Neurospora crassa OR74A: one gene and its partner. The protein of the gene in region 2 purifies or fractionates together with the protein of the main gene of each other region. This does not show direct contact. Links are inferred from orthologs where the notes say so. Each region holds a gene or a part of one and is shown on either strand. Other genes may lie near its edges.

Region 1 (4,463 bases), on a different chromosome or scaffold from region 2:
TTGATCTCGGGTATCGGTAGTGGTTATTTTAATGTTTTTCTTCAGGTGACCAACTCAAACGTCAACCCGCAGAAAGCCAACCTCCTTCTCCTTCATCTTTCGCAGTGACCCCCTGTTTCCTTCATTCCCCAGGTTAGGTCCCTCATCTGCCATTAGAAGTGGGTATGTGAGGAGAAGATGTGATGGAAAAAAAAAAGGGATGTGAACGGCAATCGACCTGCGCAACATTGCCGCCGACAACATCAACCCGCTAGCGCGTGGTATTTGTGTCATTTGTGTCGCCAGTCAACACTACAATTGACCACTCTCCTTTTCTCCCCCCAACGCGCGATCTGCTCTATGGCTGTTTTATGAATCGCCGAGAGGGAAATGACCGCCCCGACTTGAAATAACGTAGCAAGAATACCGCTCTTTCTTCCTTCTTTGTCGAACCTGAACGCCGCTGCAATGCTGCTGAAGAAAATAAAATGATGACGTAACCGCAAGAAAATGGACAGGACATTGATACAATGGTTCTCCCTGTCGACTCTAGCGCCGTACTCCGCTTGATGGTCGTAGTAGACGCAAACCGCGAGTCGCAAGAAAGTGATTTTCGGTTTTTGGGTATGGGTGAGATTCGTCGTGAAATCATGATAGGTGTTTTTGTGGGTATAATTACAGTTGTCGACATGTTGTGTGAGAGGTGTTGTGCTGCTGCACGCGGCGGCATGACGATGATCACTATGTGCGAACTTCGAAAAGACTCTTTAGACCTTGCGGAAGTCTGGAGAAAAACAGTTAGTGACAATGAACACAGCAGAAAATGAGAGACATATGATAACGAACCTTGAAGCACAGGGTAGATCATCTCGAAGGCCTGGTAGATCTCCTCACGCACTTTCGCGCCGGTAAGGACGATTTTTCCGCTGACGAAGATCAAAAGCACAATCTTGGGCTTGATCATGCGGTAGATGAGACCAGGGAACAACTCGGGCTCGTATGAGCTGAAGTTGTGATGCTTGGAAGCAAGACCCTCGAGACGGATGGGGAACTTGATGTCGCAAGAACCGACAATGTTCTGAATCTTGAAGTCCGTGAACTTGGCGTTGAAACCGAGCTTCTGGATGATACGAGCGTACTTGCGCGACGCAAGCTTCGAGTCATCTTCGGACTTGGCACCGGTGACAACCATCTTACCGCTGGCGAAGATCAAGGCAGTGGTCTTGGGCTCACGGATACGCATGATAACCGCAGCAAAACGCTTGGGGTTATACTGTTTGCGGCTGTTAGACAACCATGGCCAAGACAGACAAGTTCAAGGGACCCCGCAATCCAACCCGTCACGTACCTCGGCGTTTCTCGCATGCAGGGCAATCGTCTTCAGATCAAGACGACAATCGAGGTTGACCGTCGCGACGATGTTCCTGTTTGGGTCAGCCCACAGCCCCTTGAGGGAAAAAAGAAAAGCCAAGGTCTTCCTACTGTAGAGTAGGGGTCATGCCACTGGTGGGACCCTGGTTCGCTGCGGGCGTAGCCGCGGGGGTTGCGGGTGTCACCCCATTGCCGTTGGCGGCCTGCGCACCGATAGCTCCATTGACCGCGGCGCTCTTGTCGCTGTTCGCGGTGGACGTGGGCGGCGTGAGCTCGCCGGCCGCACCGGGGAAGGACAGGGAACCGGGCGCAGTGAAAGCCTTCGCCTGAGCGGCGTTGGACGGGTGGGTCTGGATAGCATCCATCTTGAATCAAATCTGAGCGCGAGTCTGAGACTTGGATTTCTGCGTTCTCGAACAGATCTGCGACCAGCGCTGTATTAGAATTACCGTAACAAAAAAGTTGGTAAATGAGCGAAAGTGCGGTGCAAGATTGCGCAGATGTGCAGAGGCTGGTTTGTGTAAAAGCCAAGTGCAAGTTTGTGGTTGTTTGGGGGAAAAGTTCCAACGGCGCGAGAAATGGTTATTTTATATGTGGGCGGGGGGCTCGAGGGGCCGGTTTGTCACTGGATAGTGGGGCAACCGTGGTGAAATAGCACCTCCCACCTATTCACCACCAAATGGACAATGCAATGGCATGGGATGGGATGGGATGAAATAGTTGCCACCAAGGCTCAACTGAACCTCGACTCAACCCAGTGCAAAAAAGGCAAGGTGTGGACGCAAAGGACGGGACGGGCAGGAGAGCGAGAGCTAAGAAGAGCTTACCAAATGCGGGAGATGAACAAGTTAATGTCTCCCCCAACACTTCTGTTCCTTTCCTGACAAGCACTCTTGGTAGGCACCTCTTGCAATCGACGATGCGTCAAGAGGATTGGATATGTGTCGCGGTGGTTCGACGGTGATGCGTTGACGACCTGACGGTAGGCGGCAGTGGACGAATGTCGAAGTGACTGATGGCTTCCCTTTGTTACGTCGGAACGCAGGTAGTTCACTCTGGAACAGCTCACGGCAATGGATGACCGTAACCGGGACAGCTAAGGCAAGATGATGATGAGATGGTAAAGCGATGCACTGTGGCCTGTGCAACGAACTGAATCTTCTATTATCCTCGACGCCTAAAACGAAGTAGGTCGACGGCGGACGGAGGAGGTCGGATTCTTTTGCAGGCAAAGGGCGACGGTTATGTGTTTCCTTTGTCCGGAAGAGGATCGGATCTCCTGTCTGACGGCCGACTGACTGTGATTAACCCCTAAACCTAAATGAGAGAGATGCGCCCACACAACGCAGTGACGGTGACGGCGGATGGTAGAGAGAGAGAGAGATGATTGAGAGTAAAACGTTGAACGCACGACAGCAGGATGATGCTGTGCTGGTTGTGCTTCGTTGGATCTTCTGCTTCTTCTTCTTCTTCTTCTTCTTCTTTCTGGATACCCGTGACAACAGCGACGACGACGATGCGTGTGATGCGTGTATGCGGACGGGGCTGAGCTTCTCTGGATGGAAGTGGATTTGGAGATGAGGGGTGTGGTGGTTGTGGTGGTGGGGAAAATGAAAAGAAAATCGAGGCCGCACGCAGGTATCGGATACGTAGGGCCGGTCGGGACTTCCGCGCGAGACTCTCGAAACAATGGGTTGGAGGGAGCGCCCACTACTTATAATTTTCGGCCCAGTCTACGCTATGTCGCCTAAGGCACCCACGCTAATCTTGTGGCGGCGGGTCCCCTGGTCGTTATCTTTTTGGTGCGCCGCACTGTGAGCCGGATGCGGCCAATCAGCTGCCTTTATTGGCCCTTTTTATCTCTCTTGCCTGTTCGCTCATGCTCCCTCACCCCGTCCTGCCGCCTCCTGAGCCACCCAGACATGCAGGCTTCCTCGATGTACCGGTACTTCTGTCTGACCCTGTCCTCTCTCCTGGCTCCTGCTCTCCACTCCCTGTTCAGCAGCCAGAGCGCCCTTTCTCATCCTTCCCCTCCCCCACCAACCCCAAATCCGACAAACCTGCTGTTGCCAAGCCAAGTATTGGGCTGGAACGGCCTCCAGCATGTCGTAATATGTTAACCCTCGCCACACACTCTTCGTCACAACAGCAACCTTCTGAAACCATTTTATTCCTTCCTCGCTTTTCTTTTGGAACGAACCGGTCAGGAAACGATTCTTTCTCCCTTTTTGCTACTCTATCGTTCGGCTTAGGTTTGGGCGCTTGGACGCATCATGCCTTGAATGTTGTCCTTCAGCTTCATCAATCAACTGATGGTCTCACATCTATCCCGGCGTATCATCATGGCTGTTCAATCAATCATCATCCATCCATCCATCTATTCGACATCTAGTGCACAGCCGACACTTCCTCGTGTTGTGTCCGGGAATTTGCGTCGCCACTTCCTCGGTGCTTTTGGGCGTTGCGCGGGCCTGTGGTGGGCGGTCATTCCATTCGGCGGTTCTGTTTCGACAACAGCGAGAAGCGACGCATTGGCGGTTGCTCACCTACCTCTGGAGGTAGGTAGAGGTAGGCTTGCTCTCGCTTGATTACCAACCTATGATCTCAACTGGCTCAGCACACATCGATCTCCCGCCCATTATCGATTTATGGCATCGGCCTCGGCGCAAACTGGACCAACTTCCAACTTCCCGCTTCGAGGCCTCCCTTCCTCGGCTCTTGATTTCGTTTCTCATGGCGGCTACTTTCAGTGGACTTCATCTAACCAACCGCAACTGCTGCACCGCAATCCAGCTGAATAGCTTCTCGACATTTGGTCACCGCAACTTCCACATGGCGCTTGCAACTTCGCCTGCAACACATCCGACACTGCCAGGACTTCAGCACACTCTGCTGCCTGTTTAGCGGATGACTGCGAAACCGACCGGGTTTCGCTTTCTTGCTTCGGGTACCGAATTTTGCCAAACCATTCCGCCACATCCCCAAAACCAGGAGTTACAAAAGCACCGACATAAAACAGCATTCACAGTTCCAGGTTCAGCGCGCAGACAGAAAGGGGAAAAGGACTGACTCGCAGGCATGCTACCGGCACACCTCAAATGGACGCAAAAAGG
Region 2 (4,519 bases):
TCCGTCGCCTCGTCACTGTCAAGCGCTATCCTCTTGATCTCCTTGTTGACCGGACCTGCTGCCCACGCGACAAAGGCGTCCACTCCCCGAGTGTCTTCCACGCCGTTATACAGCTGTTCCAGTTCCGATTTCTCGGGTAACAGAGCGCCGATTTGCTGCAGGGCCATGCGCACGTCGACTATCGTTGGTACCAGCTCGCCCGTCTCGGGCTCTTCGTTATTGTGCGCGGCGAAGGTGGCTGTGAGGCGACAGAGTGCGTCCAGGTAGCGGGCGGCCATATCAGTTACTGAGTCGAGGACAGAGGTGCGGGCGCCGTGGTAGCCGGCTGCGCGGAGGATCTGGAGAATCGAAGGCCGGAGGAGGGCGTGGTAGAGGTATGGTGGGGGTGTCATGTTGGCGAGAGTCGCTCGGTTTCAGCTAGGTAGGTTTGATGTCGAGGATGGCGTCGCGTTGCTCGAGAAATGTCGTTGGGAAAGGTTGTCGTCTACAAAGGTGCCAGGTCTGATTGGATATGATACAATCAAGAGGGTAGGTGAATGGGCGCGCTGCAGATCAAGAACTGCCATACGCGCCTGGCCTCGTGCACTTGTTCTTCGTTGTCGAGACACTGTCTGCGAGGTTTCGTGTCTTTTTGCTTGTCGATGCAGTGGGGACGACAAATAGTCAGAGTCGGAGACTGATCAGCTATACCAAGAAAAATGACTTGGGCTGAACCGTGGCGATTAGCAGCGCGTTGCTGGCAACAGATGGAAATTGGTTTTCCTCCAATTCAATCGCAGGCGACGAGGTGGGTTAGGTTTTCGAGGGAGTTTGCGGGCTTGCGGCAGGCAGCTCTAGTGGGGCGGGGATGGGTATCGTCACTGCCGTGCAGTGTGTTCTTGGAACTGGGTCCCTTCAACGCTCGCCGGAGGTGAAGGCCACTGCGTAATATCGAAGAAGTCACAAGCCGACGAAGAGTGCCAATGCATGCGTATTAGGAAAGTTTTGTTTGTTAATTATGGTTGACAATAGGGAAAGGAAATAAAAGAGGATTGGATGAAAGACAGAAGGCATAGAGAGTTTCCGGGGTCTTGGCGGGTGAAACTGAGGAGGCATAAAAGTAGGTCCACATTGTCACGGCATCGTGCTATATTCAAAGTAGTATAAGAGGTAAAATAGTATCTTGGAGGAATACAAGCTTCTTGGCAATCCCAAACCTTCTTCTCACTCGGGCCAGTCGCATTGATACCTCTACACTAGAATGGGTGATTTTCATCAGGAAAGCACATGTCAAGTCGAAGTACACAGGACGTTCTGGAACAGTTGGACAGCGGCACGTTTCTATTGTACCCCACCTGCCGCTGAGGAACCGTAGTGGAGTCTTGAAAGCCAAGCTCCGATTTGGACCGTGCAACGACGGACTTTAGCTAAAGGGGGCCCACCCACTTTAACATTTCCACGCTGACGCTCGTTGCATCATTTCCACTTTCAGAACGCGCTTGTCGCAACAGCGGCTTTGATAGCTGCACCGAGCGCGCCTCACCTCCCGCTTTCCTCCCCGCCCACCAAGAAACCTCCCGCTCTCGCCCAGGCCCGCCAAAGAACGCGAAGAGCATACCTCCGCCGTACCTTGTTCGATCCACATCCCCCGGTAGCAACAAAGAGGCATCGCGCCTGTCCGTCATCACCTCGCCCTCATCGAAATCTTGACGGTCAAATCATTGTCCAGTCACGACCGGCCGCCCATTCTTAATACCTAGAGGTCACCTCGTACCGGTGCCTCCCGCCCGATTCGACGCCGACTATCCATACTACCTACGCCAGTACTCAGCGATTGAGCATTTCCTCCGAGTGATCTCTGGATCATTCGCTTTATTCCTCAACGTCCTCATCGTCACACGACCTCAAGACGCCGCAGCAAACCGCTGAAACGGATTACCAGAGCGCCTTGCGCAACGACAAACAGCAAACATGGACCCACCAGGGCCAGTCAAGCGGACATTGACGCTCAAAATCAACACTCAATCCAATGGCTCATCTCAAGCAGGCAGGACGGGATCACCGGCAGTTACACCTGGGCCTGGCCATAACCTCTCTGCCGCCTCGCCACCTCCTCAGACACCGGGGGGCTCACAGGGCCCTCGCAAGATCAAGCTCAACGTCAAGGGCACGTCCTCACAACCACCAACACCAGCCGGGCCGAGACCGCCGTCGCATTCCAACACTTCATCTCAGCCGACACAACCACGGATATCAACAGGAAGCTCGGCTGCTCCCAACATCTTCATGTCCAAGCCCAAGACGGCAAGTAAAGTCTTCTTGAACGCGGCGGCGAGAAAGAGACCAAGAGAAGAGACCGAGGCGGAGGACGGTCCGACAGCGAATGGCATTGGGGGAGAGTCAAGGCCCAAGAAGATCACGCTCAAGGCACCTTCGGGCACAACCCCAGTTCAAACTCCGCTTCTAGCTCCCAAGGTTCGCCTAAAATCGCAGGGCAAAATACCGACGCGGCCGCTGGGGGAGGGTTACGATTCGGAGGCCGATGATAGGGAAGTCGACCCAGTAATTGAAGAGCAGCTGATCTTGCGCATGATGCCTGGTGAGCACTGCGACTATCTCCGGAAAGCCGTGGCTGAAAGGAAAGTGGGCGTTCCTAAACATCAAGGTGGCGCCGATGTTACAATGAAGTTTCTGGATGAAGAAGGACGGCGAGTAATGTTTGTTATTCAAGGGCAACCGTACGCCGCTATTCTGGTTGATCTACCCACAATCACCGAGGGCATGAAGACGTGGGATAAGAAATCCATGGTCAAGTCAGCCGACATTTGCCAAATGATCCTTGTCTTTGCTAAGGTCAAAGACGAGGCGGAGGCCAAGTCGGTTCCTTTACCCAAGGCTGTCGAGCATGGCCACAGATGGCCCCATGGTATCACCCCGCCGATGCATGATGCACGAAACCGGAGGTTTAGAAAACGCCTCAGCAAATTGGAAATCCAGAACAAGGAAGCCGAGGTCGAGCGGTTGCTGGCAGCAGACAGGGAAGCCCTCAACTCCAGGTACGAGCTTGTAGCAGAGGGCGGGCACGGAAATACCGCTGCGCCCGAGTCCGATCACGAATACGGTGACGAGGACGGAGGCATGGGAGGCGAAGAAGACCGACTAGAGGACTATTTCGGGGACGCAAATATGCAGAACCAAGACGACGACAACCTGTTCGACGATCTCGAGGCAGAATTCGAAAACGCGGCAGACACACCTGCCGAAGCAATGGACGCCATGGACTTTGGCGCTGCCACGCCCACGGCGTTAGGCGGCGGCATGGATCTTCCCACACCCCCCACCGCCAACACGGGTACGCCTACCGCTGCACAAACCGAGGAGAGTGCGGCCGAAGCAGTCAGCGAGGAGGACGAATCAGATGAAGACGACGAGGATGATGAGGGTGACATGGACGATGACGGCGATGAAGAGCGCCATGATGAGGTGGCGGGAGTCAAGGCTGAGATTGCCACACTGAGGAAGCAGCTGGCCTCGTACGAGGAGCAGTTGTCCAAGGCAACAAGCATTATCATGAAGAAACGTCTGGAAGGCAGTATAAAGAACATCAAGTCGGAGATTAAACTGAAGCAATCTTCGATTGGTGAGGTGTCCGAGGAAGATTGAAGGGGGTATCCAAGCTGTGCTGTTATGGACCTGGAATCTATTTCAGAGAAAGGATTATCGTATGGGCCATATTATATCATGCTAGCCAGAAACTCAGAAGTCAGTGAATAGCAGCAAGTTGAGAATGCCCAACGAGCGGCACAAAGAAATGGCACTTGTTAGGCAATATATTTACCGATGCTTGGGAAGCAAGCACACGAGCAAAATTCTGACCTGTTGTCCAAACATTCAATAATTTATGGTTACTAACTGAATCACATGTATTTGTACAGAATCGTTTTTGGATCTAACCATAGCAAATGGCTCTCTGGCTGTCCACTCCAGGGCTCTCAGGCCCTTCACCCTCCTGAAGCCGTATATAGTTTTCTTACATTCAGGACAATTCCCCCATGTCCATGTCCGCTTTCGTGCCCGTAGGTAGCCATACCATGAAGTCGTTCTTGGACGGTTGGATGTTAGTACACATACGAGCCCACCACATCAACTCGGCTGCTGCTGCTGCTGCTGCTGCTGCTGCTGCTCTAGCCGTCCCTCCTTCTCTCCCTTCACGTGCTCCCCCTCTTCTTTTTCTTCCTTCCCACCCATCTCCTCCCATGTTTCGTCCTCGTCCTCCCTCGGGCCTCTGCCTCTCGAACCACCACCACCCCTCATGCTTACATAGCCTTGAGGTAGTTACTCTCCTTAATCTTGGCCTTGCGCTCCTTGCGCATCGCCTTGCGCAGCTCCTCCCGCTTCTCGTCCGCCAGCACGGCATCCTGCACGCCGCCGTTCACAGCTCCGGGGAGGTTGACCGACTGCTTCTGTAGCGGGATCTTGGGTGCCAGGGCCTCGAGGTCGCCGGAAGCCAGGATCTTGGCCTCTTGGGCGCGCGCGCGCT

Evidence for each region.
Region 1: the proteins of NCU03095 (region 2) and NCU04770 purify together in Saccharomyces cerevisiae (affinity purification with mass spectrometry; 5 studies listed by BioGRID, with this or other methods). This does not show direct contact. The link is inferred for Neurospora crassa OR74A from reciprocal best matches to the Saccharomyces cerevisiae genes TAF7 and SPT15.

The regions. Positions count from the first base shown.
Region 1 is NC_026506.1:755,687-760,149, reverse strand, and holds the start of NCU04770 (TATA-binding protein), read right to left. Parts: upstream 3,028-4,463; 5' UTR 2,178-3,027; intron 1,773-2,177; 5' UTR 1,716-1,772; coding exon 1,462-1,715; intron 1,404-1,461; coding exon 1,328-1,403; intron 1,253-1,327; coding exon 826-1,252; intron 764-825; coding exon 747-763; 3' UTR 1-746. Other genes in the region: NCU17074 (hypothetical protein), read left to right, coding at 3,633-3,908, 3,968-4,072. UniProt on the Saccharomyces cerevisiae protein: General transcription factor that functions at the core of the DNA-binding general transcription factor complex TFIID. Binding of TFIID to a promoter (with or without TATA element) is the initial step in preinitiation complex (PIC) formation.
Region 2 is NC_026501.1:4,523,083-4,527,601, reverse strand, and holds NCU03095 (transcription initiation factor TFIID subunit 7), read left to right. Parts: upstream 1-1,467; 5' UTR 1,468-1,950; coding exon 1,951-3,642; 3' UTR 3,643-3,864; downstream 3,865-4,519. Other genes in the region: NCU03096 (bromodomain associated domain-containing protein), read right to left, coding at 1-392; NCU03094 (hypothetical protein), read right to left, coding at 4,296-4,519.